Diceros bicornis minor: one gene and its partners. The protein of the gene in region 4 interacts with the protein of the main gene of each other region in a pairwise test. Links are inferred from orthologs where the notes say so. Each region holds a gene or a part of one and is shown on either strand. Other genes may lie near its edges. The genes, in order: PPFIBP2, PTPN4, DPPA4 and CRK.

What was found.
Region 1: the proteins of CRK (region 4) and PPFIBP2 interact in binary tests that used the Homo sapiens proteins (3 or more experiments, as listed by UniProt). The link is inferred for Diceros bicornis minor from reciprocal best matches to the Homo sapiens genes CRK and PPFIBP2.
Region 2: the proteins of CRK (region 4) and PTPN4 interact in binary tests that used the Homo sapiens proteins (3 or more experiments, as listed by UniProt). The link is inferred for Diceros bicornis minor from reciprocal best matches to the Homo sapiens genes CRK and PTPN4.
Region 3: the proteins of CRK (region 4) and DPPA4 interact in binary tests that used the Homo sapiens proteins (3 or more experiments, as listed by UniProt). The two-hybrid records come from large-scale screens. The link is inferred for Diceros bicornis minor from reciprocal best matches to the Homo sapiens genes CRK and DPPA4.

What each region holds. Positions count from the first base shown.
Region 1 is NC_080746.1:66,097,221-66,104,606, forward strand, and holds the start of PPFIBP2 (liprin-beta-2), read left to right. Parts: upstream 1-4,380; 5' UTR 4,381-4,517; intron 4,518-7,386. Other genes in the region: OLFML1 (olfactomedin-like protein 1), read left to right, coding at 1-699. UniProt on the Homo sapiens protein: May regulate the disassembly of focal adhesions. Did not bind receptor-like tyrosine phosphatases type 2A.
Region 2 is NC_080749.1:12,914,281-12,921,571, forward strand, and holds the start of PTPN4 (tyrosine-protein phosphatase non-receptor type 4), read right to left. Parts: upstream 3,008-7,291; 5' UTR 2,515-3,007; intron 1-2,514. UniProt on the Homo sapiens protein: Phosphatase that plays a role in immunity, learning, synaptic plasticity or cell homeostasis. Regulates neuronal cell homeostasis by protecting neurons against apoptosis.
Region 3 is NC_080754.1:12,450,643-12,457,911, reverse strand, and holds the start of DPPA4 (developmental pluripotency-associated protein 4), read left to right. Parts: upstream 1-4,262; 5' UTR 4,263-5,124; coding exon 5,125-5,169; intron 5,170-5,345; coding exon 5,346-5,408; intron 5,409-5,485; coding exon 5,486-5,645; intron 5,646-6,658; coding exon 6,659-6,819; intron 6,820-6,905; coding exon 6,906-6,956; intron 6,957-7,180; coding exon 7,181-7,269. UniProt on the Homo sapiens protein: May be involved in the maintenance of active epigenetic status of target genes. May inhibit differentiation of embryonic cells into a primitive ectoderm lineage.
Region 4 is NC_080757.1:16,257,016-16,264,537, forward strand, and holds the start of CRK (adapter molecule crk), read left to right. Parts: upstream 1-4,516; 5' UTR 4,517-4,612; coding exon 4,613-4,853; intron 4,854-7,522. UniProt on the Homo sapiens protein: Involved in cell branching and adhesion mediated by BCAR1-CRK-RAPGEF1 signaling and activation of RAP1.

The DNA of each region.
Region 1 (7,386 bases), on a different chromosome or scaffold from region 4:
GACTCTCCAAAGGTTTACTTCTTCATTGGGTCCAGAAGCAACACTGTTTGGGAATTTGCAAACATGCGGGCATTCGTGGAGGATGGCACCAAGCCAGGCCCCCGGAAGCTAATCCTAACACGTTCCTGGCAGGGAACAGGCCAAGTGATCTACAAGGGTTTTCTATTTTTTCACAACCGAGGGACTCCCAACGAGATAATCAAATATAATCTGCAGAAGAGGACTGTGGAAGATCGAATGTTGCTCCCAGGAGGGGCAGGCCGAGCGCTGGTCTACCAGCACTCTCCCTCAACTTACATTGACCTGGCTGTGGATGAGCATGGGCTCTGGGCCATCCACTCAGGGCCAGGCATCCAAAGCCATTTGGTTCTCACAAAAATTGAGCCTGGCACACTGGGAGTGGAACATTCATGGGACACTCCATGCAGAAGCCAGGATGCTGAAGCCTCATTCCTCTTGTGTGGGGTTCTCTATGTGGTCTATAGTTCTGGTGGCCACGGCCCCCATCGCATCAACTGTGTCTATGATCCGCTGGGCACTATCAGTGACAACGATCTGCCCAACTTGTTCTTCCCTAGGCGGCCAAGAAGTCACTCCATGATCCATTACAACCCCAGAGATAAGCAGCTCTATGCCTGGAATGATGGAAACCAGATCATTTACAAACTCCAGACAAAGAGAAAGCAGCCTCCGGAGTAATGCCCTACAGCCGAGATGGAGAGCACCATGGCTATGGATGCTGCTTTCCAGGACAATGAGGCCACAGCCCTTTTGCAATATAGTATCCCTCCAGTCACATACAGGGATAGGGTCCAGAAGTGGGAATGCATATGCCTCCTTTCCCAGATGTTATTGGCCTTAGGGATCTTCCAAAAGCTTAGTTGAGAGTTTGTCATTCAGAAATTTTTCAACAGCTTCCATTAGCCATCCAAACCTTCTGGCTCTCAAGGCCTTCCACATTCTGATCCTGCTTACGTCCAGCCTTTTCTTTTACAAGCATTTACTCTAACTCCCCCCGCCTCAGCAATTAGTAATATAGACCACCCACTAATACTCCTGGCTTTTGTCTCCTCTGGCCTTTTTGCTGAAGCTCTTTCTTCTTTCACAAATGCTTATTGATATTCTTCCATTTTTCACTGCCCAACTAAAGTACTACTTCTTATTGATGTTTAATTTCCATTTCCCCTAGCTTTGCCCCTCCACCAGGCTAGGTAGATATAATAATAAAGTAAAAACATTAACATTTGAATACCATTTTCCAGTTACAAAGTGTTTGCACTTATGTCACATCATTTAATTCTCATCTCATCCTTGTGATATGCAGAACAAGTCTTTATAATTCCCATTTAAAGATGAGGAGAGTTTAGATGAGCCGTTCAAAGTAACACAGCTACAAAATGAAAGACAGAGCTAGAAAATACTGCAAAGTCCTTAGTCTTTCCATTGCCCAAGGAAGCATCAAATATGTATATTTCTTTGTCCAACCTTTTATAAGCAATATGTTCATTATTTCAGCCTCAAAATAATGATATACCCCTTCAGCCTGTTTTCGTGTCTGCACAAGACTTTCCTAAAGGCTTTTCAAAAGGTACTTACTCCAGACAACCAGCCTAAGGGTGAGGACCCACCTCCAGCCTCATCTTGGCTTACCTTCCCCTGCTTCTCTCTTCTTCCCTGAAATACAATAAAACTGACACTCAGCAAATAAACCTCATGAGGTTATATTTGCCTGCATACCCTCAGCATCAGAGTTTCAGGGAGGGCTGCCTGTGCTTGGGTTTACTGCGAACCAACCCCAAGACGCAGAGGCCCTTGGTAAATGTTGTGGAATCTGGATGGAAGCCAGGTAGCAGGCAAGTGACTCCCTGTCACAGCAGGCGTACCATGTGGCACAGGGGACAGAGGACAGCTGTGCCTATCCAGAGGGGCTTCTTCAAAATCTTTCCCACGCATCCGTCCAATCAGCCTGTTTGGGTCACAAGTGCAGGCTGTGGTGCCACTCTGTGTCATGTGCCAAGGCCTCTGTCCTTCCAGGTTGGTCACATGAGAGAGTTTGCTTTGTGCCTTTGCAGCTGTTTTCGTGACTCTGCCAAGCCCAGGCTGGGACTGTAGGCAGTGAAGAGAGTTCATTTGTTTTTTCCCCAGGGCATTTGAGTAGATCTTTGGCAGAATAAAATTACTCACCGCATGGATACAGCACAATTACCCACAGTTCCAATAAAGTGATACGGAAAGCCCAAGTCCGTTGTGGAAGGAGGCAGTTCTGAATAAACAAACATGATGATATTACCCACTCCATGGGTTTCGGGACATTACCCGCCCCATGGGTACAATAGCATTACCTATTTCACAGGGAAAAGGAATGTGGGCTGCCTCACAGAGGAAGGTAGTGTGGCATTATCAGCGAGTGGAATTATGCGCAGGTCCTGCACACAAAGTTCCTCTGGAGGCATGGAGGAGAGGTTGCCTGTGACGTGCTGACTGCCTCTCGTCTCTGGTATGCTTTCATTTGACAGTTCTGCAGGGCGTACCTGCCACTAACAACCTGGTGCCTTAAATTCCTGCAGCTAGAATCACTCTTTTACGTCAAGACGTTTTCTCCAGGAAGCCCAGTTAATGTGCCACTTTGTTTCCCGGGAGCTAGGGCTGGATAGCATGCAGGCCGGTGAACACTGCCTTGTGCGTCTTTCCGGTGAACTTTTCAGCTTGATGGATTTCAGGGAGGGTCGAAGTTCTTAAACTTTACTGCACATAAGCATTACCTGAGGAGTATTTAAAAATCCTAAAGCAAGGCCACCCCCCAGACCATTAAATCGGAACCTCTGGAGGTGAGACCCAGACAGTATTTTTTAAGTCCTCTCCCCCAACATCGTTCCAAAGTGTGAATAAGCTTGAAACCCAGACACTTGCACCACTTCTTAAAGTAATTTTAAAAAGTAATTGTATAGTTCTAAGCACAGATTGGGGGCTGGGGTCAGGGCGGTGGGTTCACTGGGACACCAACATGTGGGATTTGGAAACACCCATGAACTCGTGTGAACTGTGGCAGCTCAGTCTACAAAGGCCTCTCTGCTGCTATTTTAAGGAAGCGAAAGAGAACTGAAAGGTGTCCTGTTGTAACACAACTCTTGTGGGCCCCAGCCTTCCTCTGCTGGCTTTGCCCTAGGTCTGCTTCTGGCCAGGTTCCTGCAGTGACCAGAGTCTCATATTTGCCAGGGTGGCTTAAGTTTTGTTCACATGTAAAAGTCTTCTGGGCACACTGGTAATGTCAGAGCACCAGAGTAATTTGAAAGATGTGTCTTGTGGAGTTTGTCAACACTCCAGCCTGTAGAAACATAGATAAAAACTGAGGCCAGGGCAGCTCCTGCCAGAGCTGGGGACTTGCCAGAGTCCCTGCTGTCGATGCCATCTGAGGCCCACAGGGATTTTAATCAGCTGAACTGAGCAACTAGTCTTTGGAGGCCCAGGCAGGGCAACAACCTAGCAGTACAACCAAAGGGGATTCAGGCGGTACACTAGGGGAAGGCGTTGGACTAGGTCCCCAGGGCCCAGTCCTACACTGATTCTAGAATCCATTCCTGTGGTCAGACATCACGAACGCTTTTCTTGGGCCTATGGAACCCCGCCTTGGTGCTGGGCACAGGGAAGTGCTTCTCGTCCTGGACTGTTCACAAGAACCGGCTCCAGTGTCTTTGGTCGGCGCTGACCGCTAGAGGGACCTCCACCCCAGGTCTCGGGGTTCGAGTGACCGGACCCTAGGGTGACTCAGCCTTCCAAACTGCGCGGGGGGGGGGGGGTGCTGGTGCTCAGAGACAAGGGATGAGGATGCCCTCAGGCCCGCCTCCATTTGGACGGGATCGCACGGGTCCGGAAGTCCGGACACCTTCGGGTTGCTGCGCTGGGTGTGCCTCTAAAACGTTTTTTCTATGGCGTCTCTCTTTCTCTTCCTAATTCTCGACACAAGTTCCCTTTCTGCTTCCTCGCTTCCATGCCCTGCGGCCGAAGAGCGGTTAGCGAAGGGCTGGAGAAGCCCACGCGACTGGGAGCTGGAAGCGCCCGGCGACCTCCCCGGGGCCGGAAGAGTGCAGGAGCGGGGCTCCAGGGAGGGGCGTGGCCTCCCAAAAGAGGCGGGGCTTGGGGGACTCCCACGATGGTCCAGGGGTCGGGGGCGGGGGCGGAGCTGGGGCCGGGCGGGGGCTGAAGCAGGTTCGAAGAGGCGGGATTGTCGAGGCCGGTCGCTACCGGCCGCAACGGTACCCGAGGGGGAGGGGGAGAGGCAGAGGGGCGGTCAGAGGGGGTGGGGGAGCGGGAGCTCCGGGACGAGCCTCCCGCGGGTCCCCGCCCCCGTCACGTGGGCTCCAGACCCTGCCGCTGCCGGTCGGTGCGCTGGTTGGTGGGTCAGTTGGTCGGTGGGTCAGTGGCCTGCAGCTCGGTTCTCGGCTCTCATATACGGAGGTGGGAGGGACACAAGAGCGGCCCGCACACCTGAGCCGCGCGGAGAGGAGCCCCGCACCCAGGTCAGTGGGCTGTCCCCACACCCCCAGGCCCGCTGCGCGGTCCGAACTGGGAGCCCGCGCAGGGGCATTGCTTGGGGAACAGAGAGCTCCGAGATCCAAGAACCACTCGGAGCGTGGGGGTCAGTGCCGGTGTGGGCGCCAGAGCGTGTCCCAGCCTCGAGGACGGGGGCCGTTCTCCCCTTCTCTGGCCAGAAGATGGGAGGAGGGTATAACTCCTGCGGATTTGCTCCGAGTCTCCGCCCACCCCTGCCTGGGATCTACGGACAGTCCGCGCTCCTACAGGTGCCAGGATGGCCCTGGAGATGCGCAGGGTGGTCGGTCACCTCAGTTCTGTGCGGTATGACAGAGCTCTGTTTAGTCAGCTGGAGCAGCCGCGTAATCTGGAGAGCCCAAGGCGGTCGGGAAATTTACGGTCTATTTGCCCAAGCAAATCCGTTCGGCAGAGCGTGTGTCCAGGTGCAGCGCCTTGGCTGAGACCGACTCTGTTGTCATTGCAAAAACGCAGCATGCTTTTCAAACTCGCAGGCCACTGCGTCCCAGTAGACTGCAAGTGGGGATGGCCCTGTTTGAAAGTGGGCTCCTCCTCTGCCTCAGGACGTCCCTACGCCAGACCAGCGGTTCTTCCTCAGATGAAAATAATATATTTAAAGACCAAAACTTCCAACTTTGGGTAGGATTGAAAGGGGCATTCCAGCAAGTGTTTAATCCTCTTACAAAACAAATTATAGTTTTACTTTTAGAGCAGCTGGATATTTGGTATAGATCCGTCTCCCTTTCCATATTTTGGTCTACTTCCTGTCTTTCTCTTCATCTCTCCTTCCTCTCCCTGTTCTTTAATTGATTATAATACAAATCCAAAATGTTTCCAAATTGTATGTTGCATTTTGTGAAGTTAAATGCCCAACTACAGAAAGGTAGTTGGCTGCAGACATAATTCATCTTTAGCATGTTCAGTCTTTGATTACCAGTTGTATATGGAAAACACAAAATGTTATTTGATTTAGAGATTATTTCTCTTTTGGGTTTAAGAGAGGCAGCCCATTTGTATTCTGTTTAAATTCATATTTAAACGACTTTGAAGTGGGACATGAGGGAGACTGGTGAATTTTCATTTACTGCATTCATCCATGATTTTATTTATACATTATTATTACTTTGAGATTTGATGATGTGCCAGCTATTAGCTTATTGCTACTGAGGAGACAAACTGAGAATCGTGGTCTCTTCTTTACTGGGGTAGCTATGGCAGGTGCACTGCTGTTACGACTAAGTAGAATGAGACAAGTGCTATGAAGGAGGTGAGAGCAAAGAGTTGTGGGAACTCCTGTGCTTCGGAGGAAAAGCTGAGATCATTTCAAGAAGGGAGTGACGTGTGTGTGATGGATCTCAAAAGGATTTCTCCTGGGTTTCTCCAGGCAGAGATGGGTAGAGGGTGACCTGGGCTGTGGGAGCTGTGTAGGCAGGCAAGCACTGGCTAGACTAGCCGTGAGAAGTGGCAAGTGGTCTAGCTTGGCTCCTCTGGCGAGCGGTAGACAATAAAGCTGGTGACAGAGATGAAACGTGGTCGCGGCAGGCCGCGAAAGCCAGGGCCAGAAGTCTGGACTTTGAAAGCACGAGCATGGGAACCAATAATGAGTTTCAAGCAGGGGATTGGCTGATGGTTCTGTGAGTTGAAAGTCAGGGGACCTTGGCCCTTGACTCTCCCAACCCCTAGCCTGATGTGGAGAAAATCCAGTAAATGTTTGTGGAATGAACGGTCAGGCAACGCTTTAGAGCAGTGCTTCTCAACCTTTAACAAGCTTAAGAATCGCCTGAGGATCTTGTTCAAATGCAGATTCTGATTCCTAGGTCAGGAGTGGGACCTGACATTCTGCATTTCTAACAAGTTCCCCGTGGTGAGATCCCTTCGCTATCTATAGCAAGATTAAGAGCAGTAGTTTGCAAATCTAGGTATGCCTTAGACTCACCTGGGGAGCTTTTAAACTATTCTGATAAAGTAAGTCTGGGGATGTTTTTATCAAGTTCCCCCAGGTGATTCTGCTGAAGGCCGTGTGGGAACTGCTGTCATGGACTCTGGCGGTGCGGGAAGCAGGGACTGGAGGGAAAAGACACTGGGGGTGGAGAGGTCAGTTAGGACACTGGAAGGTCAATCAGGACAGAAGTGACAAGGCCTTATGTTGGGCCTGAGAGGGTGGAGCTGGTAGGAGAGACTCGAGAGAGAGAATCTACAAGCCAGAGGGCCAGGGAGTGGGCTGTTCAGTCTCTAGACTGGACGGGTTGAGAAGTGAGGAGGGAGGAACAATTCTGGGAGAATTCAGCTTTAGACAAGGAATGGCATGCCCTTTAGACTGTAACATTTGGGATAAAATTTGGAAGTTGTTTTTTACTTGGCCATTGGAAATTTTTTTTCCTGAAATACAAATTTGTTCATGACGCTCCCCTGTTTAAAATCTTCTGGTGGATCCCCTATTGCAAAATATGAGAAGGAAGAGCTAATGTGAACACAACTGATGAGACCTTTAAACATTTGTTAAGTTCCTAGACTGTGTACCCCCATTCAAGAGGTGACACTCAGGAAAAAAAAAAGTGACACTGTCATCACTTGGTGTGGGCACAACCAGGCTGAAACTTGGCAGCTGTGTGTTTTCCTGAGTCACTATTTTTCCTGCTTCCTCCTTCCTCAGAGCAGTTCCACTTTATGCTTCCTGGCATCATTCTTTGGTTTCAACACTTGATGGCACCTGTGTGTCTCAGTTTTCGCAGAATCCACAAGTAGTCTCAGACAGGTGGGCTGTATCCTTTATAGACTCTGAAAGCCAGGTCTCGTTCGATCTTGGGGATCTTCACCAGGCCGGTCTTATCTCTCACA
Region 2 (7,291 bases), on a different chromosome or scaffold from region 4:
GACTATAGCATATAAAAAACTTTATAACATGCATGTTATTACCCAGAAAAACAACAAAATTCAACTCAGTTTGTAACCAGTGAATTTCTGCAAATACTAAATTTTATTTAGGAGCAACAATTCATATTTAGCCCCATTAAGTGACATAGACTTGCCATTTCTAGTCAGGGCACCAATTTTACATTCTTAATAATTAACATAAAGAATTAAAACAGAACTTTTAAACATTTGTCTTTAAACATTCCCAAACAAGAATTCTATATATTTTTTTAGAGCTTTCTTACTGTTTAAAACTGACCATATTAACTCTCAGAGGGTGGGGAAAAAAAGCCCTCTCAATAACAGTCAATAACAATTTCTCCTTGAAATTATCTAGTAGTCTCTTACTTTGTTCCTCAAAAACATGACCACTGATCCCCCCTATAGTGTTTAGAATAGGTCATAAATACCAAACAGATAACACTGCACATCGTACTGTCACTTTACAACTCAAATTATGTTTAATAGCAAAACTAAAATATTTTGAATATACAAATCAGAGTTTAATAATAGTTTATGGGAGTCACATAAGAAAGAAAAAAACACAATGAAAAAAGTTTTTATTACTGTCCCAAATAAAGTACTTCACACATTAAAAAAAGTTAGGCTTCTATGCCTGAACTGAAGAAATCTAATTTGTGAGAGTCTGTAATCTTTTAAAGTCCTTCAATAATAATGAAGTGTACATTGGTCACAGTAGAATAGTTCAAATGAATTTTCCTGAGGCTACATTCTAAGTACATCTGACCCAGAAAGTATTTTTAGCAAGTGTGTCCAATCAATGCTGGTTTTATGCCTAGCCTAAATTAGAAATTGGGTGTCACAAATTTAAAGTAACAAAGTTACTAGGGACATTTTTAAAGACATTCAACTAGAACATAAGAAAAAGCCACAAGTTTGAAACAATTCAATACTCACAGCCCAGAAGCTAAACAGGTTAGAAAATAGGCAATATGAAAGTCACATCCTCATCCACTACTACTTTTGAGGAACTGTGATTTTCTAACTTAATAAACTTTAACCTACTCAATTAATATTAATAAAAACTACAAAATAGTGATGGCTCTTTGTGTTTTCAAAATCTCTTGCCAGATGTTTAAAACACATTAGGTTAATTATAAATATTCCCATGTACAAAAAAGACCATGTTTCTCTTCTTATAAACCACTCAAGATCATGATATTATGGGACCATGCAGAAGTTTCAATGCAAAACAGTAACAAAGATATGTGTGCCATAAAAAAAAAAAAATGAACACATAAAAATAGCTTTTGTGGTAATTGGAGCATAAATTTATTCTGACAAAAAATGGTGGAGTCTACAAAATGACAGCACTCTTTTATCACAAGTTAGTAAAGAAGTTCTGTACAATACACAAACTTTTGCCTACAAAAAAAGTCTTTTTTTAAAGAAAACTATAGGTTGAATTTATATTCATCAAATTCAAGATTTAACTGATATACCTAGCTCTATTCCATTAAGCACACTTTGGGCTCTGAATAATCATTTTAAGGTCATCTCCTCCTCTCTTCAAAAAACGAAAAATAATTTTTTTTTCTCTGGCACGTTACAGTTCAAAAATCAGGATAAAAAATGCGCTGGCTTTTACTGTTCCAGTCTTCTTTTTACTCAAATCGTCTTCTACAAGTCGGATACATTGGCTTTGGGGTTTTTTTCCCCTCCATAAACAGGTTTTAAACTGTACTGTTTCAATTGGGCCCAAGATCTGGTCACATAAACCTAATATTAGTCCATTCTCTGATTCGAAGAACAGTTTATACACCGCAAATATACAGGTTCTCCTAGAACAAGCGCTTGAAAATCCTACAAATCGTCCTTGTACATAGTGGTGTCACTACATAACGCAACCCCAGACATAAAGTCTCCCATTCTGTTTCGCAGAAACATCTATACATTTATCCGTGCAAGTGCAAACTGTTCCATTTTAAGGAAACCCTAGGAAATGCATCGGTACGACTATTTAGCTACATCTCAACTTTTTTTGGCCCAACTACAGATTCTTAAAAGCAAGCATATACCGGCAGAATCATAAGAGGCTTAAAACTTCAACGGTAGGGTCAGTCTGCTCGTGCAGCATGCAGGAAGCGCTCATATGAGCCAATAAAAAAAAAAAAAGAATCCTACCAGCAATGGAAAACTCAGAAGATTCTAAAACCTTACCTAGAGTTTAGGTACGGTGGAACATTCCATCTCCGCACCTATGCCATCCCTTCTCCCTTCGCTCATCCATAACAGATTCCAACTGTAACCCAGAGGAGCTCCGAGAGCAGAGGTCCCAGGAAGAAGGGGGGGGGCGCGATGTGGAAGCATCATTTTTTCCTTCCTTTTACATCAACCTTGTACCTCCGGCTGCCTTACCTGGTTCGCCTCCCACGAGCCACACACGCCCCGGGTAGCAGCCTCGCGTACAACGTGCAGGGCCGAGGGGCCGGCGGGGACACGGGAGCCTCTTACCTTCCTATCTCAGCCGCGTCCTCTCGGCTGGAGAAGAAAAGCCTGGAGGCCCGGGCGCGCCGGGGAGGAGCGCGTCCGCCGCGCCGCTCCCGGGGGTTCCCTCAGCGCCCCCTCAGCAGCCGCCGCCGCAGCGGCCGCGCCACGGCCCCGAGCCGCCAGCACCACCTCATTCTGCGGGGCTGCCGCGGGCCGGCGCCGCCGGGGAGGCGGGCGGGAGGCGGGCAGCCGGCGCGCGCTCCCACCTCCCTGCGGGGATGAGATAATTCACACCCCCTAAGGTGCCGTGGGGGAGGGAAGTCCCAGGGCGGGGGGCCTGGACCCGAACCTTCGACCCTTCGGCCACAGACAAGTCTCTCCTCTCCCCGGCTCAGGCCCCTAATTCAGCCCTGGGGACCCAGGAGTCCTGAGAGAACAATGTGGGGGGCCGCAAGGAGCGGAAAAGCGCGCGGCGCGGGCGGGCGGGTAACCCCGGGCAGCGTTTGTATGTGAGAGTGCAGGAGGAGCTCAAGCCACCCCCCCTCCTCTTCCTCCTCCTCCTCCTCCGTCTCCTCCTCCTCCTCCTTCCCCCTCAAGCACACCCGGTCTCCCAGGCCACAGCATAGCAACCGAACATGGCGGCTGCGCAGACGCCGCCAGTCAGCGATCGGGAGCCGCGGCGGCAGCAACAGGAGGCGATCTCGCGAGACGCAAGGCCAAACCCCTTCCCCGCTAGCGCAGACTGGAGAGGTTGCACCAGCCCCAGCGCGGGGGGACACTCAGGTGCGAGGGAGGCCGAACCTGGGTAGGTAGGGGAGGAAGGGCTGGGAGGAGAAGGCGGAGCGCTGTGTCTCCGCCCCATGGCCCCTCAGCGATTGGTTACTTGAACTGCGATCCCTGCTGGACCTACTGACCTAAGGGACCGGACGGAGCGACAAGAAACCTAAGTTTTAAAAGGGGAAAACGAGACCTCTTGGCCCCAGGTCGTCCCAACTTCAGTGCTAATAGAGGATGTAGGTTTTAGGATGCAGGTTTGAATCATTTCCTCTCCTAAATATAGACTCTAAAACAAAGAACAAACAACGTTCAGTTATAAAACAAACGTTTGGGTGCCTTCTGTGTGCCAGGGACGGTGTGTGCTTTTTAAAAATTGAATTAATTCATTCTAATAGCGCGTATGAATTTGGTGTTATCACGCCAGGGTTTTTAGCCAGGTGCATTCTAATATTTTATTGATGATACAAACTTATTGGTGATAAGACAAATGCCTACAGGCTGGGCGACCTCAGCTGAAATGATGTAAGGAGGGATTTAGGGACCATTACACATCCTTTTTGCATTCGTTTGTGTCAGTGCCCCTTCCTGTCGCCTTCTTGCTCTTCCTTGCTCTTAGCTTCAGCATCCCGCCAGAGCCAGCCTTCATACAAACGTTTTTCAAAAATCACTGTCCCTCCAAGCCAACGAAATGCCTATTTATTAACCAGGGGTGGTTTTTGCAAGAGGAAATCTTGCAAATTTATACACATCTGTGAAAGACAGCAATTTCTATTGATCCTCTTCTCCCTCGCACCCCCATTTAGTTTTTCCATTTTATTTTATTTTATTTTTTGTGAGGAAGATCAGCCCTGAGCTAACATCCATGCCAATCCTCCTCTTTTTGCTGAGGAAGACTGGCCCTGGGCTAACATCTGTGCCCATCTTTCTCCACTTTATATGGGAGGCTGTCACAGCATGGCTTGAGAAGCGGTGCTTCTGTGTGCACCGGGAATGGAACCCCCGGCTGCCAGCGGTGGAGTGTGCGCACTTAACCACTATGCCAGGGGGCCGCCCCGGCCCCTAGTTTTTCCACTTTAAAAAGACAACTTGTGAGTCCATATTTTTCCTGCATTACACCTTCTACTTACTTTTATTCCCAGAGCTTAGTTCCAGCCAATGCTCATTTGTCCTTCCCTAAATATGCTTTCCTGCCTCTAACTCTCCATTTTTTGTGACTTTGTTCATGCTATTTCCTCCGCTAAAATGCTCTTCACTTCATCTCCACCTGTCAACATCCTCCAACCACGGAGCACATGGGACTTCCACCAGAAGTAATTTCTTCCTCCGACATTGAGAGTTCTAGGTTTTTGCCTCCCTTTTTCTTATCACAATGCACATTTTGTTACACAATACCCATCCTTGTGTGGGTCTTATCGCCACTACCACATGGTAAGTTACTTGAGGGCAAGGACCTTGTCTTAGTCATCTTTGTATCCCCTATAATGTCTGGTGACACTGCCTGGTGTCAAAAAAGTTTGTTGAAAGAGTGAAATTCTTAAATCTCTAACTGATGGGATTTCAGGAAGGTACTTGAGACAGGGCAGGATCTTCCTCAGCTTAGGATCTGGGAGGTTGCTGTGTCTCTGGGTAATATTGGTCTGGTCCAGATTTGTTCTTGTTGATGCCTCGGGGAGCCTTCTAACTAGTCCTCCTACTAATCTTGCTATCTCAAGACCCTCCCCCTCCAGCCCATTCTTCCCACCCGCATCAGTGAACCACAGTGACCTTTTATACAAGTATAAGTGTGATTTATAAATATAGCTGGAGTCTCAACATTGGAGGGGCTGCAGGAGGACACTCTTTGTTTTGGGAAACTCCACAGGATGAGCCCTTTAGATAAAGAATGGAAGCCTCGTATCCATCTACTATTCTTTAGGAAAATTGTGAAGTCACTTTTTCTTTTAATTGATGTCTTAATAGTTTATAACATTGTGAAATTTTTGGTTGTACATTATTGTTTGTTAATCACCGTATACAAGTCTTCCTTCACCCCTTGTGCCCACCCCCCAACCCCCTTGCCCCTGGTAACCAGTATACAGTTTTCTCAGTCCGTGTGTTGGTTTATATTCCACATATGAGTGAGATCATACAGTGTTTGTCTTTCTCTTTCTGGCTTATTTCGCTTAACATAATACCCTCCAGGTCCATCCATGTTGTTGCAAATGGGACGATTTTGTCTTTTTTTATGGCTGAGTAGTATTCCATTGTATATATATACCACATCTTTTTGCTCCAGTCATCAGTCGAGGGACACTTGGGTTGCTTCCACTTCTTGGCTATAGTGAATAATGCTGCAATGAACATAGGGGTGCATAAGCCTCTTCAGATTGTTGATTTCAGGTTCGTTGGATAGATTCCCTGTAGTGGGTTAGCTGGATCATAGGGTATTTCTATTTTTAATTTTTTGAGGACTCTCTATACTGTTTTCCATAGAGGCTGCACCAGTTTGCATTCCCACCAGCTGTGTATGAGGGTTACCGTTTCTCCACATCCTCTACAACATTTATTGTTTTCTGTCTTGGTGATTATAGCCATTCTAATGGGCGTGAGGTGATATCTTAGTGTTGTTTTGATTTGCATTTCCCTGATGATTAGTAATGTTGAACATCTTCTCATATGCCTATTGGCCATCTGTATATCTTTTTTGGAGAACTGTGTGTTCATTTCCTCTGCCCATTTTTTAATCAGGTTGTTTGTTTTTTTGTTGTTCAGTTGTGCAAGTTCTTTATATATTATGGAGATTAACCCCTTGTCAGATATATGGTTTGCAAATATTTTCTCCCAGCTGGTAGGGTGTCTATGCATTTTCATCCTGGTTTCATTTGTCTTGTAGAAGCTCTTTAATCTGATGAAGTCCCACTTGCTTATTTTTTCTTTAGTTTCCCTAGTCTGAGTAGACATGGCATCCAAAAAGATTCCTTTATGACCAATGTCAAATAGTGTATTGCCTATATTTTCTTCTATGAGTTTTATAGTTTCAGGTCTCACCTTCAGGTCTTTGATCCATTTTGGGTTAATTTTTGTGAATGGCCATAGCACACGATCTACTTTCATTCTTTTGCATGTGGCTGTCCAGTTTTCCCAACACCATTTATTGAAGAGACTTTCCTTTCTCCATTGTATGTTCTTAGCTCCTTTGTTGAAGATTAGCTGTCCGTATATGTGTGGTTTTATTTCTGGGCTTTCAATTCTGTTCCATTGATCTGTGTCTGTTTTTGTAACAGTACCATGCTGTTTTGATTACTATTGCTTTGTAGTATGTTTTGAACTCAGGGATTGTGATGCCTCCAGCTTTGTTCTTTTTTCTTAGGATTGCTTTAGCTATTCGGGGTCTTTTGTTGCCCCATGTGAATTTTAGTATTCTTTGTTCTATTTCCCTGAAGAATGTCATAGGGATTATGTTGAATCTGTAGATTGCTTTAGGTAGTATAGACATATTAACTATGTTTATTCTTCCAATCCATGTGCATAGGATATCTTTCCATTTCTTTATGTCATCATCAATTTCTTTCAATAATGTCTTGTAGTTTTCATTGTATAGGTCTTTCACCTCCGTAGTAAGATTTATTCCCAGATATTTTGTTCTTTTTGATGCAGTTATAAATGGTATTATCTTTTTGAGCTCTCTTTCTGTTAGTTCATTATTAGCATACAGAAATGCAACTGATTTTTGTAGGTTGATTTTGTACCCTGCGACTTTGCTGTAGTTGTTATTTCTGGTAGTTTTCCAATGGATTCTTTAGGCTTTTCTGTATATAAAATCATGTCATCTGCAAATAGTGAGAGTTTCACTTCTTCATTGCCTATTTGGATTCCTTTTATTCCTTTTTCTTGCCTAATTGCTCTGGCCAAAACCTCCAGTACTATGTAGAATAAGAGTGGCGAAAGTAGGCAGCCTTGTCTTGTTCCTGTTCTCAGAGGAATGGCTTTCAGTTTTTCCCCATTGAGTATGATGTTGGCTGTAGGTTTGTCATAAATGGGCTTT
Region 3 (7,269 bases), on a different chromosome or scaffold from region 4:
TATACATTAGGTGTGTCCAGTTCTAGTGTATTTTTTAAAATACCAGTCTCTCGGATATGGAGAAAGAGGTGTTCGCATGCACTGTTATAAACTTGTAAAATCATTCTGGATATGAATTGAACTATATATAAGTTTTTTTAAAAGCCCAGCTTTTGAGCCAGGACTTCTCAGAATACACAGCGCGGAGAGATCCAGACAGGTCCTCCAACCAGCCTCCACAGTTCCACTTCCCGCCAAATCTCTCCCTTCCATCAAATATGAAATGGTGGTTATGTATGACACTATCCTGTTTTGTCTTCTGTAAATGCAGATTAATGACTTTGGAAGATTCATTGCCTCCAGGTAAGCAACTGAAAGCCTCATTAACTCAGCTCATTTTATTCAATTAAAATTTTTTTTGGAAAAGAAAATACACAAAAAAATGAAGAAAAAAGAAACCGTAGGAGGAGTACTCCCCATCTCTCAAATATGTATTCTTCTTGCTAAAAACAAGACAGGCCAAAATGGAGTCACTTATGCTAAGCCCCATGTCACCAAACAGAGACTTAACTTACACTTTTGGCTCTCCCAGAAATGGAATCTTACACCAGCCATCAGGAATCGCCTGATCAGCACTAGTCAGGTCATCTGCCTGATAGACCCCTGCCACTCCCTAAAGGAAAGTCACCTTGCATAACCAACCAGCTTTTTTTGTCTAGTACAACTTCCTTCCTGCTGTCCCCCTCTGCCTATAAAAATCTTTCATTTTGTACAGCTCCTCAGAGCTCCTTTCTATCTGCTAGATTGGATGCTGCCTGATTCATGAATCATGGAATAAAGCCAATAAGATCTTTAACATTTACTCAGTTGAATTTTGTTTTTTAACACTCTCCAATGCTGTAATAATAGAAACATCTAACATTGACCCAACACGTGCTGCCCTAGACACTGTTTATTCAGGACATGGGAGAGCCCTCTTCGCTCCCCCACAACCCTCTGAGTGAGGGTTAGTGTTTTCACCACTCCCGTCTTACAGATGAGGAAAGGGAGACCTGCAGGTGTGAGACAACTTGCCTGAGGTCACACGCTGGTAACGGGGAGGCTGAGGTTTAAAGACAGTCCGTGCTGTTAGCCACAACTCTCCATTTCCGCTCCAGCTGCCAGTATCTCAGACCTAACATTGCCTCGGTAGCCTCCTAACCTACCTTCCCATGTTTACTCTGATCCGTCACCTCATCTTTCTCCTCCTTGCCGTTGAAAGATCTTTACAAAATGCTCTTCAGAATCTGCCCACCCCCACTCCCACCTTCATCCCCACCCCACCCTGAATTTTTCCATTGTTCTTAGCCTAAAGATCAAAAGGCCAACCTATCCAGACTCAGCTTACATTTTCTTCCTCCCTCTCCTAGCCCCACGCAGCCCCTTTCAGTTCCTGAACCGAGGTGGGCTGCCTCAGGAGTGCAGTCTCTCTGGGCGGATCCTTCCTCTGTTCAGTTAGTTCAGTTCACCTGGTCCTTAGACCCGCTGCTCTCCTGACTTCCTTGATGAGGTCAAAACCCCTACTGCAGGCTGTCATACATGCAGAGCTTTCCTATTTTTCAAGTGTCATAATTGAATAGTTTACATTGGTTTTGATAATACATATAAATGAATATAATGCATTTAAAAATCAAGTAAAAGAGCATTTCCTTATATTATTAGTTACTGATATGATTTGCTTAACATCTGTCCTCTCCCCCAGCTGTGAGCCCATGTGGGCCGGGTCCCTGTCTGCCATTGTCCACCTCTGTGTCTCCCAGGCAGAGCACACAGCAGACACCCAACACACTGTTGTTCAATAAATGAATAAGAGATTCAGTTATGAATATTTTTTGAACTCAGGGTAGATAGAACTTTAGGCATTGACATAACATTTTTAAAAAGCAATAAAAAGTTTTTCTTTTGACTACTAAACATTAATAAGAAACTACACATAAATTTGTGTTAGTTATTTCTCTAAAAGACACAATAAATTTACAGTTATCCCTATTTTACATTTGAGAAACCAAAGCAGAAAGGTATCGTACTTTGCCCAAGATTGCTTATAAATTATCACAACTCCCACAAGCCTGTTAGAAAGATATTTGGCTTCTTTTTGCTTCATTCAAGAGCCCAGTAGTACCGTTTCCAATTATGCTCAAATATTTTAAATTGTACTAATCCTCTTTATACATAGGACATCAACTAACCCATGTTTTTTGAATGGTTGGTGCAACTTGTTAGAACTGTGTTCCCCCAAATGGTGATGAGACTAAGAATTCTTAAATCAAATTCCAGCACACACTGGCTCTGTTTATACACGCTTTAGAGATTGTACCTTGCCTGGGATTAGATGTCTCAGTCTCAGCAACGTTACTTCCAGTTACACTGGGAAAAGGAAGATGACAACTGGTTACCAGTTGTTGTCTCTGAGCCAGAGTAAAGAACTGATCAGTCAAAGCCCCGGTGCGACCTCCCAGATGATCTACATTCTAAATACTCACTTTCGTCCTTGGTGCTCTGCGGGATGCCCAGTCCACAGGTACACTTCCTTCTCTACTCCTAGGTCCCATTTACTTACTCCCTATGTCCATGTATTTCTATCCTGCGAGCAGATTATCCCCTCCATTCTGGGTAAGGATCATTTCTTCTTCATCATTTTAGGGCAAGCAATGAGATGTAGGAAAAACAACACAGACTTTGTAATCTGACAAAGGTTTGAATCTCACAATCACTGGTTCTTAACCCAGGAAATTCCTTCCCCTCCCATCTCTAATCCTGACAGTTTGACAGGGAGGATGATCTGAGAAGGAGGGATTTTTGAAACTATTTTTGAGAGAATCTGGACCTTGTTTGGGAGTCAGTAGGTTAGGGCTCAAGGGATAGAATCGCGTCCACCTACACTTGATTTCTGGTTCTCTCACTGTGCTATTGAGCAAGTGATCAATACGATGTTATACATACTTTGGTCATCTATAAAATGGAGAACAATAAAATAATGGCTGTGAGCTTTTAAGCCTAGAATTTGGTACATAAATACTCAATAGACTTTAAAAACTACTATAATTCTTTGTTGGCAGATGGGAAGGTGCTAGTTACTATTAGCACAGATGGAACGCTGGAGTTTTAATTGGTAGAGTAACTTGCTTAAGAAATGGAATGTATATGGTACATGAAAACAGCTTTGCTTTCTTAAAGCCATCAGTCTGGTCCGGAATCCTATTGTTTCCACAAGTTCTATCATTAAATCCTTTCACCCATCCTATTCACAAGTCTCTGGAAATTTTTATTTTTCTTCTTGGAATTTCTCTGAAGGAGTTTTAAACTTTCCAATGTCACCTGAACCACACTGTACGTGATTATGTTTAAAAGCTCATAGAAAAGGGCCAGGAATGGTATTAATTCATTCATACAATAGTCGCCTTGTGAATAAGACAGTACACAAATTTAGCATTCACAAATTGTGGGGGAGGGAACAGAGGGGAGGAGAAAAAGAAGAGTTCCTTCTGGGTGGCAGGAAGTGGGAGGAGACTTTTAAAAGAGCAATCTTGGGCCAGGGGCCATTTTAGAAGTAAGCAGAACTTTCTTTTTATCAACCTTGACTTCTTTTCTGAGTATGGAGAATGCAAAAGGCAAGCAGGTAAGTACAATCTTAGTGGGTTTGTTTTCTGTCCTTGTGAGTCTCCTCATATTCCTCTCTTCCCCTGAGCACACTTGATCCTTCTTTTGAGGAGAAAAGAATGTGCCTTCAATTTCCTCCTCTTTAAAAAAAAAAAAAGTAAAGTCCTGGATATGACTGCAACCTGTTATATTGGAGCTAGGAAATAATAAGAAATGGGGTTTCCTGTTTTGGTTTTGAAGAGATGCTTTATCCCATCAGAAAGAAGAATCCAGTATCAGGGGTGTAAGGAAATGGTAACAGGGGCAAGGAGGAGGTGAGGGAAAGACTTCAGGAAGAGATATGAGCTGAGTCGGGGAAAGAACGAGATCCTTTAATTTCCCTTCAACAGACACAGATCCTAAAGCAAATGTGTTGAGTCTGAACTCATCTTCTTTTCCCAGGGTCGTTAGGGCCAAGAAATATAAGCCAGACATCTTGACAAGCACTGCAGACAGAAACAAGAGGTGGAGAGGCTTTGAGGCTTGTTCCAGAAGAACTGAACTCCCGTGCCTGGGAAACCTGAACACTCTCAGGGTCTCTTTCCTAGAACCAGGTCATTTTTGCACTCTCAATTTTAAGACTTTTGTGAGACCCAAAAGTGAGTAGTTTGTGTAAGGGCTATGTAGATGTAAAATTTGAATACGAATGTAAAACTGCAATAGAAATGTAAAAATGCCATACAAATGTTAATTTGTCCAGTACTCCCACCTTGGGGATGATGGAAAGGAATTAGGTTTGGGAGCAAGTTGATCTGGGATTTAATTCCTATCTAACGTGCCTATCTGCGCACCCTTAGTTATGTAAGGCATCAGCTTCTGCATCTGAAAAACAAATAAACTGTCACCAGATTGCTGTGCAGATTAAAGGAAAGAAAATAAGGAATGTGTCAAACAATACCTAATAGAAGAGAGAGGCTCAACAACTGTCAGATTCTCTGTACAAACAACTTTATCCCCACTGTTCTCTTGTTTCTTTTGATGCAATTAACCAACATTTATTGAGTGCCTATGATGAAAGGGAAAGAAATTCTGCCCTTGTGAAGCTTACAATCAAATGGAATAATAGGCATTGACCAAATGACACAAGCAAATGTGAAATTGCAACTGATCAGTGGTGGGAATGAGGCAAAAGGTAGTAGATTTGACTTGGTCTGTAAAAACGGGAAAGGGTTTAGAGATGAACGCTCGAAGTGAATTCTGGAGGAGGAGTAACATTTAAGAATGTAAATAGAAGTAGGGTGGGGTGGGGTGGAGCTGAGTGATACCACTTCAGGCCAAAGTAACTAGGTTGGGAAGGACAGAAATTCTTTGACTGGAGCTTGGGGCAGAGGAGAGTATTGTGAGAAGAGGCTGGTGGGTTATATGAAAGACATTTGCTTATCTTCATATCTTTACGCTAAGAACAATAAATCTTCGAATGGATGTGAAGGTCTGATAGCATCCCTCCAGCAATAGTATAGGAAACTTATGTGGAAGAGGTCAAGAGTGAAGGAATGGGGGAAAATCTTCCAGGTGAGAGAGGATGGATATCATGGGTGATGTAACGACTTCCCCCAAAGCAGACCTTATTTTCTTCTACTTCTTTTGTTTGTATCCATATTTTCTGTCTTTTTTTGTACTTTTAAATTGGTCTTCTCCCATTTCCCCATCATTGCTTCCCTATCTTATAAATGAACCTGGGCATTAAGACGACACCCAGAGAGGAATCCACACCGCCAGCGGAGTTCGCTGACTGTCTTGGTGCCTTGGATGTGAGTTATCTTGAGGCAGGTAGTGTGTGTGGTGGGTGGGACCAGAGGAATGACTGACTGGTGCCTCTAATCCCCAGTGGAATTCCAAAAAGAAATCAGGGGAAGAACATATGACTGGCAAGTCGAAACCTCAGTCGGTAGAACCCGAAGAGGAACAGCAGGCTTCTGGTGAACCAAATGCACAACAAGCCTCCATGAGGGGGACCAAACGAAAAAGATCTGTGAAGGATGACAAAGGTAAGAGGTCTACAAGTCCTCAGATCTCATTTCCTCAGGTCTAAGAGGCCTGAGGAATTTTTCTGAAGGAGTAGGAAAAGTAGGAAAGGAACGTCGTCCTCTCTTGTGCAAATCCTACAGAATTTTCTTCAAATAAAAGAAATTTCTTCGAGGCCTAGCTTAAATCTCACCTCCCTGAAGCCTTCTTTTGGTCACCCCTGTTAACACTGATTTCTTCCTGTCTCCAAATCCCACAACATTTTTGGTTCTGATCATCATTTTGCCCTCACTCACTGCATGGAGTTAAGGATCTCAAAGTGCAGTGATTTGGGGACAGACCAATGTAAGTTTGAAATCCCATCCTTGAAACTTCACTTCTTGTTCTAAAAAGTGAGGATAATACCTACCATGTTGAGTCAGAGGTCCGGTGGAAGGTGGGTTATAATTTACATAGAATAATTAGATAAAACACCTTCACTATACCTGACTAGTAATGTGGGCTCAGTAAACCCTAGCGACTACCGTGTAGTCGTCATAGTTGTGTCCTCTCTGGAGGTGTGTTCTGTAATTCTTCCTTGAATGCTGAGTGTGCGTGAGGCACAGCAGGAGACCTGTGTGCAATGAGACTGGAGTGCTGCCCTGACTCAGGTAGGCTGGCAGAATTATGGGTAATAGTGGGGTGTGTGTGGCATTGCTGGGTGGTTTATTTTGTTTTATGGTGAGAGGACAAGGCACCACTGAATATTTATGATCTCAGGTCTACAACTTCTACCATTTCCCTGGATTGGAAGTGCAATCTCTAGTGCACCCTCCTTGGAGCCTGTGGGTTACAGAGCTCACAAAGGAGCAAGTGCGTATCAGTGGTGGGGAGTTTTAGGAAGCAAAAAGTGTGCAATTCAGAAATATTAAGTCCTAGGTTTGAGGTTCTGACCTTTGGCGGTTTTGTGGTCTTGGCAAGTCATTGAACTGTACAACAGGGATTGGACTATGAGAGCTAAAAGTGACTGCACTGGTTTCATCCCATTCTCCTTCAGCTTGCTGTCCTCAAAAGATGGAACAAGACAAAGAGGATGTAAGACTTCGGAAGAGGACACCAATTCCTCCATTACCCTCTAAACTGCCACCAGCCAACATGCTTCACCGAGACACCTTGAGAGCCTGGTGCCAACAACTGAAACTGAGCACCAAAGGCCAGGTGAGGGCCGGGTTGGGAGACGATGCTGCTGGGAGAAAGGGTAGGGACCTTACTTTCATTGTTAATTCTTTTTTCTCTTTTCTCAGAAATTAGATGCATATAAGCGACTCTGTGAATATGCTTATCCCAATCAACAGGTGAGTAATTTGTAGAAAATTTGGCAGAGTGGAAGATTTAGTTCTCATCCTAATTACCTATTTTAGCATCAAACAGTAAGTAGAGGAATTGTGTCAGCCCCTCTACTTCTTCTAAGGAGGAACCACATCCCCCTGTCGTCACTTTTCACCAACTCTGAGCAAAGAGTAATACAAATAAGGCTGTCCTTCTGATAGCGCCTTCATCTTTCAAATCCTGTTTGTAGAACATTCCTGTCACAGCAAAGGAGGCCAAGATCCTGCCAGGAGCACAGAGAAAATTGATGATGGACAAGGGAGAATCGTTTCTGGAAAG
Region 4 (7,522 bases):
CGGCTACCATCCTGTGGGAAGTCCAGTGCCCTCCAGGAGCTATCTGCCAATTGTAGGAAGCTAACTTTGGCTCTGGACGAGAGCCTCCACCTGACTCCAATTCATTATTCATTCCTTCATTCGACCAATATGTACTTACTGCCTACTGTGTGGGAGGCTCTCTGCCAGGCACTTGGGATATAGAAGGAACAAAAAAGACCAAAATCCTTGCTTTTATGGAGCTTATATTCTAGAGAGGAAGAGAAGACAAGACAGAAAACAAATATGTAAAATATGTACTAGATTAGAAGGAGATAAGAACTAGGAAAATAAATAAAGCAGAGACACAGGGAGGGGGAGAGGGAGAAGTGGGTGTGCAGTTTGCAGTTTCAAATGGGCTGGTGAGGGAGGGCCTCCCTGCGGGGCAGCACTGGGGCAGAGACCTGAAGCAGGGGAGCCAGCGACCATGGATATCCAGCAGAGGGAACAGCAAGTGCAAAGCGTGGGGGATTTTTAGAGAAAAGGTCAGTGGGCCAGAGAGGAGTAAGCAGAGAGAGAAGAGGAGAAGAAAAGATGGGTGCATTTGCATCTCACCTCCTTCAGATGTTCTTGATTTTCTCAGCTCCACGAGGATGGGGACAAGGAAGTTGGCACATTCTTCTGGACTCCTCCCCACAAAAGGCATCTGTGTGAGCAGCTTTCCTAAAAGATGGGGGTATGAGGGAGATTTACATTGCTGCAAGGCAGATAACTCACTCTCAACAGTCCTACGGACTGTTGCCATTGGGAGCATCTCACTGCCCTTTCTGGGAAGGTCTGGCCTCTTGCTTTGGTTCCCAGCACGCTTTGCTCCCGAAGGCCCTCCTTGAGTCCCCTCATATTTCTCCCCAGAGGTTTCCCCTAGTGTCTGCCTCCAGATCTTATCTTTGCACTTTTTTTTTTTTTTTGGTGAGGAAGATCGGCCCTGAGCTAACATCTGCCAATCCTCCTCTTTTTGCTGAGGAAGACTGGCCGTGGGCTAACATCCATGCCCATCTTCCTCTACTTTATATGGGATGCCACCACAGCATGGCTCGACAAGCAGTGCATAGGTGCGCGCCCAGGATCCAAACCAGCGAACCCTGGGCTGTTGCAGTGGAGCGCGAGCACTTAACTGCTTGTGCCACCGGGCCGGCCCCCTCTTTGCACATTTAAAGACTGGTCCTTGTCACTGCAAAACTAAGGGCTACCCACTGGCAGGTGGGGCATCTCTCTTTGTCATAGTCCAGAAAATCCAGCAGACTTGGAATTTCTCTGTCTCCTTTCTCTCTCCTTGTCTCCACATATTTTGATATAAATTGTGCCTACCTTTTCTCTTTCTCTCTCACACACACTTTGGAAGGTGATACTGTCAGTTTTCTCTCTAAATAGCAATTTTTGTCATCTTGATACAAATAATCTTTCTGTTTGCTTTTTTTTTTTAAGGAAAAGTGGATATAAGTAGCCCAACTCCAGAGGGTTCCATTTACATAGTACCCTGGCGTTGTGCAATGCACGACCTGTCTGCATAGCTGTATGAGGCAGCTCTGGTCACTTTAGGCGACATGCAGCAGGCAGGCAAGCAGGTCATTGACCCCTGCTCCTCCTCCATTGCTAAAATAAAGAATGCCTTTCTTTGGTTAGGAGGGTAGGAAGTGGAGGACTTTGGTGCGGTTTTTCTCTTGCGCAGGGCAGCCTTTCCTTTCTTTTCCCCTTTTGCCCCTGCTTCTCCTTCAGGTCCCTTTCCCCGACCCCTCCCACATACACCCCCCAGCACCAGGACCCCTTCCTAAGCAAGGTCACATTCTTTGTAGGGCAGATCTTGGGCTTATCAGGGGGCAAAAGCCACCATTATAGCTGCAAATCCTGGTGTATGAAGAGGAGAGGAGGAGGAGGAGGAGAGAAAGCAGGGAGGGGCAAGCTGGGCTGGCCTTCTGCTTGTCCCAGGGCCACTCCTGTTCCTACCTGTTGGCTCCAAGGAAGAACACACTCAATAGTTCTCTGCTTGGGGCTGAATCTCCTCTCTTTGCCAATCTCCTTGCTTATTTTCCAGTTACAATTTGTTCTCCTCTTCCCCCCTCCCTCCCTCCCTCTTTCTTTCTCTCTCTCCCTCCCTCCCTTCCTTTCCTTTCTTTCTTTCTCTCTCTCTCTTCCTTCCTTCCTTCCTTCGTTTCCTTTGTTCCTTTCCTTTCTTTCTCTCTCTCTCCCTCCCTCCCTTCCTTCCTTCCTTCCTTCCCTCCCTCTTTCTTTCTCTTTCTTCTTCCTTTCCTTCCTCCTTCCTTCTTTCTCTCTCTTTTTCTTCTTCTTTTAAAGTATTCTTTTCTGTCATGTCCATGTGCCCTAGGGAGGGGACTTAGAGGCATGGTTTCAGAACCCCACAGGCAGTCTCTGGGTATGGTCCTGTCTGAAAGCCCGGCCGTCCTGGGAAAATGAAGACCAAGCACTTCTCTTTCCCAAAGGGCCGGAATTCACACTGGGGTGGTTTCTGCTGCTGGCTTGTGGTGACATGCTGTGACTAAGCCAGGGTCACGATGAGTCACCCATATCAGGGAAGGTGCCCTTGCTCCCCTCCCCTTCCCAGAGCAGGCTCGGAGGGGTGTGAAGTAGGTCCGGAAGAGGTGTGTCATTCACGTAAGACCAGAACCCAGGGCTGACTGATTTTTTTTTAATGTCTATTCCTACCATCCTCCCTCCACCTCCTACCCTCTACCAGAGGTCTGAGGATATAGCAGAGTGACCATAGCTCCCTTCTCCTTCCAGGATTTGAATCCCAGCTCCCCACTTAGCAGTCGTGTGTCTCTGGACAAGTTACTTAACCTCTCTGAGCGTCATCTGTATAATGGAGATAGTTGTAAAATACCAACTCATAAGGTTGTTGAGGGGATTAAATGAGATCATCCATATAAAGGCAGTTAGCACTATGCCTGGCAGATAGTATTCCTTGAATAAATGTAAGCTATTATTATGAAACATATATGGAGTGCCTTCTGTACTAGATGCTTGGCCTTTGAGGAGCTCTAGCATGGGACACAGACCTGTAAATGATTACAGTACAACCAGTAAGAAATGGAGATAATATGGATGTACTGCTATTGATGCAAAGAGGGAGAGATGTGGTGATTGGGAAAGCGGAGGCATTTGAGTTTCGAGATCCCAAAAGGAGTGGACAGGCATTCCAGGAAGAAGAGACACAAGGTTACTGTGGGAGAAGTGAAGATGGGACCGTGGCTCAGTTTTATGCTGTGAGCTAAACCGGGAGTTGTTGTTGTTGGTTTTTTTTGGTGATGAAGATTTGCCCTGAGCTAACACCCGCGCCAATCTTCCTCTATTTTTTGTATGTGAGATGCCTCCACAGCATGGCTGATGAGTGGAGTATGTCCATGCCCAGGATCTGAACCCGCGAACCTGGGGCTGCCGAAGCAGAGTGTATGGAACTTTAACCACTAGGCCACGAGGCTGGTCCTAAACCGAGAGTTTTAACATCTGGAGACTGTTAAAAGTTTTACACAGGGTAGCCACAGACTCAGAGTTGTAATTTAGAAAGTTCACACTGGCAGATGTGCAATGCAATTAGGGGCAGCAAGACTATAGAGCACCAGTGAGCAGGTTGTTCACAGGAATACAGATATAGGTATGGGATACAGAGATAGAGATGATTATGATGGCAAGGAGTGTAGAGCACACCCATGGCCACAATTACGGTTTAGAAGAATCTGGGCAGATGACTTGAGAGCCTCAGTAGAGCCTCCATACTTCTGGCTTGGCATACTCTGTTCCCTTTGTCTTGAATGCCCTTCCCCACTTGCCGTTCAACATTCAGCTCAAGCCACCTCCTGTGGGAAGCCCTCTTGGATCGCTCTACAGGCTGGATTAGGGGGCCCTGCTCTGTGTTCCTGGAGTCCCTAGTCCGTTCCCTGTCATAGCACTTGGCATTCCTTTGTCTTTGGCTGTTTCCTGGTTCCTCCCACTGGTCTGAGAAGGCGGTGAGGGAAGGATCCAGCCTTGATCACCTTTGCACCCGCAGGGCAAATGTGGTGTCAGTAACTGTTTGCTGAATGAATCAATGAAAACAAGAACTTGAGCCGGCCTGGGGAGAAGCTGGAGGAATCATCAGAAAAAAGACCGTCTCAGGGAGCTCGGGCCCTGAGGCCATGTCATCTTTGCTACTCTAATTCTGTGTCGGAGTCGCTGCCTAGAAGTTCTGGGCCTTCCAGGATCTCGAAGCCTGGCGGAGCTAAGAACCGCGTGGGCAACCGGGCGAATACAAACCTCCGCGGACTGCCGGCTGAGGCCCCGCCTCTCGGCCCTGGACTCCACCTCTCCATCCTCTGCAGTCCCAGTCCCTGCCAGGCGGCGACGCCCATGAGGCCGCATGCGCAGTGAGAAAGCAAGCGGTCCCTCGCCCTTCTCCCAATGGCGGGCGGCGGTCCCCTTCCCGGCGTCCTCCCGGGGGCAGGGAGCGCGTCATTTCCGGTGGGGAAGGCCCGCGGCCGCCGCCGCCATTTCGGGCGCTGCTGTGAGGCTGAGAGCGGAGCCGGTCCGCTGGGCGGCGGGCGCCGGGGCTGGAGGGGCGCGCGGGGCGGCGGCGGCCCAACGTGTAGGCGCGGAGGCGGCCATGGCGGGCAACTTCGACTCAGAGGAGCGGAGTAGCTGGTACTGGGGACGGTTGAGCCGGCAGGAGGCGGTGGCGCTGTTGCAGGGCCAGCGGCACGGGGTGTTCCTGGTGCGGGACTCGAGCACCAGCCCCGGGGACTATGTGCTCAGCGTCTCGGAGAACTCGCGCGTCTCCCACTACATCATTAACAGCAGCGGCCCGCGCCCACCGGTGCCGCCGTCGCCCGCCCAGCCTCCGCCCGGTGAGGGACGGACGGGACGGGAGGCCCCGGGCGGGGGTGAGGGCCGCGGAACTCCCCAGCCTGGCCGGCTGCTCCTCGCGAGCTGACCCTCACGAGGGACGTGGGCAGAGGGCTGGAGTGACCATGGCAGGGGGCAGCCTGCTGCCGGGGCTCATTCCCACCGACGAGCGGGAGTGCGTGGGGGAGGAGGAGCCGCTGACCCAGGCCTTCTCTGGGTGTGACTTGGGAGGACAGCCCAGGGGAAGGGGAACTGCCTCGGTCCCAGGGTGGGGCTAGCGCCTGGGCCAGGCACAAGGGCAGAGCCGGGCAACGTGGGGACAAAGAACTGAGGGGGATGTTGGCACTGCGGGGGCATCGCTTGGCAGCGGTGCCCAGAATGAGTCCGATAATCTTGCAAGTGGCTTTTTAGGCTTGAAACATTTCCTGCAGTGTTGGAGAGCCGGGTTTGGCTATACTCCCCTGGTGGCCTTTGGTAGGAAGTCACCACATACTGGCCCGGAGGGATGGAGACACCTTCAGGAAACCGGTCAGCTTTTTCCTTTCTTGGGCATTTTTCCAAAATACTTTTACCGTCCTCTTCCCCCGCGGAGGACGAAGGTGGTGAGCTGAGTGCCTTGGTGATAGAAGAAAGCCCTCCACGACCAGCCCACAGTAAGGTGACGCCCAGCTGACCGTGTCACAGAGATTTTAGTGTCCAGAGACTGTCCTCCACAATTAGGGGGTTGTAGTTTTCAGAGTGTTTAACGGAGGAAAGATTTTTTTCAGGAAATAAACCAGAAATAAGGCAGTGGAAACAATCCCTTCCCTGGCAGGGAATGGAACTTCATTTTTCCTTGGACTTAAACATTGTCAGTCTTCTACTTTAGGGCGTCTCCGTGCTCAGTAAGTTGGGGCTGTGGCCTGAGTCTTGCTAGGTATTGGGAACAGACCCCACCAAGCTGATTCTCTGAGAATTTAAATTATCTGCACTGGATGTTTCTTGCCAAGCATCATTGAGGTATGACTCTCTTACCCATGCCGTTGGAGGTGTTTGGGAAATGTTAAGGAGATTTTTGCACATAGTACTTGAGATTTGTGAGGGACACGGTAATTCTGAGGTTGTCGTTACCTGTCTAACAGCACAGGAGTTCTGGTGTCTTCTCACTGTTCCCGGGTTGAAGCAGTTTCCTCCTCACCAGCCCAGTCTAGATCCAAGCCAATCTCGTGTGAATTAGGAGGCTTCTGAGCCAGCCTTTGCAGACATGCCCTTTTAGCATAGTCCTAATTTAGGTTTATTCACTCTGGCCAGAAATGGGGGGACAGGATAATCAGTCTCTTTGTTGTTAACCCTTGCCAATTTTTAAAAAGAATGTGGGATCTTTAGTCCACAAATTGTCCTAGGTCTTTCTCAGTCTGGTAGGTTTAATAGCATTATGACAGGAGATGATAATATTGATGTAACATATATTTGCCCTAAACCAGATATTTTCTGCTGTTTACAACCTGCACAGTATCTAGGGTTTTGCATTATAGTTTAGTGACATGATGGCAAACTGTCACCGAAGCTCAGTTCTCAACCTTCTGTATGTGTATGTGTTCTGTTGGTTGCAAAATTTGGAAATGGCAGTAGGCAGGTTTGTTTGAGCTTTCTCCACATGTTGGCATTATGACTTTATATCGCAGCACTTACTTTGGTATTGAGCTCCACCTTTTCATAGCAGATATGAGTTCAGATCCTTGGCCCAAGAGAGAAGGTGAAGATTGCCAAAGTTTGTGGATGGGGTGTGGAAAGTTCATGGGCATTGTGGTAATTCTTTGTGCTGTGTACCCTATTTTTCACATAGGATCCAGTTGCTGTCTTTATCAAGATAACTTAATCTTTATTCTACCCCTCCTACATGAAGCTCTTTTCCTTTTGAAATCACACAGAGGACTTTCTTGAATTTTAGAAAGGCATATACAATATTAATAGCTAACATTTATTGACTGGTTATTCTGTGCCAGGTACTTTGCTGAGTGCTTTATGTGCCTTATCTCATTTACTGTCTGTAACAATCTAGTGAGGAAAGTACTATGATCTCCATTTATTAAAATATTTCCATTTTATAGATGAGGAAAGTGAGAGAGATTCAGTAACTTGCCCAAGGTCACACAACTAGTAAATGACAGAGCCAGAATTTGAACCTAGGAATTCTGACCTGAGTGCTGACACTGTTACACTGTACTCTTTTCTGTCAAAGCCAGTTTCCTTTTGAGATCTCAGCAGTGCACATGGAGGACTCAGTGCTTTTGTCTGTGTCCTAGGGTCTCAGGTTCTATTTAAAGACCAAAAGGAAAGGATCACAAGAAGAAACTGGCTTTAGTGTTCAGACAATACACATCTGCTATCTAAAAGTCAATGATGAAGAGGCTTTTAAAATCTTTATTTGGCAAATGGAATATGGAAAATGAGCTTTTTGCTTAGGATTATATAGTATATTTTGTGGACATAATACCTATGTAAAATATGTATGGAGTGGCCTAGATGTAGTTTTTAGAGTCATAGGAATGGAATAGACCAGGTATTCTCAACCTTTTCCAGTGAACCTATTTGAACTTACCTTAGGTGTTCAGGTCCTACAGGCTACCGATGCTGCCGCAGCCTGGGACTATCCTAGCTGTGCCCCAGGGCCATAGGGCAGGGTTTGGTC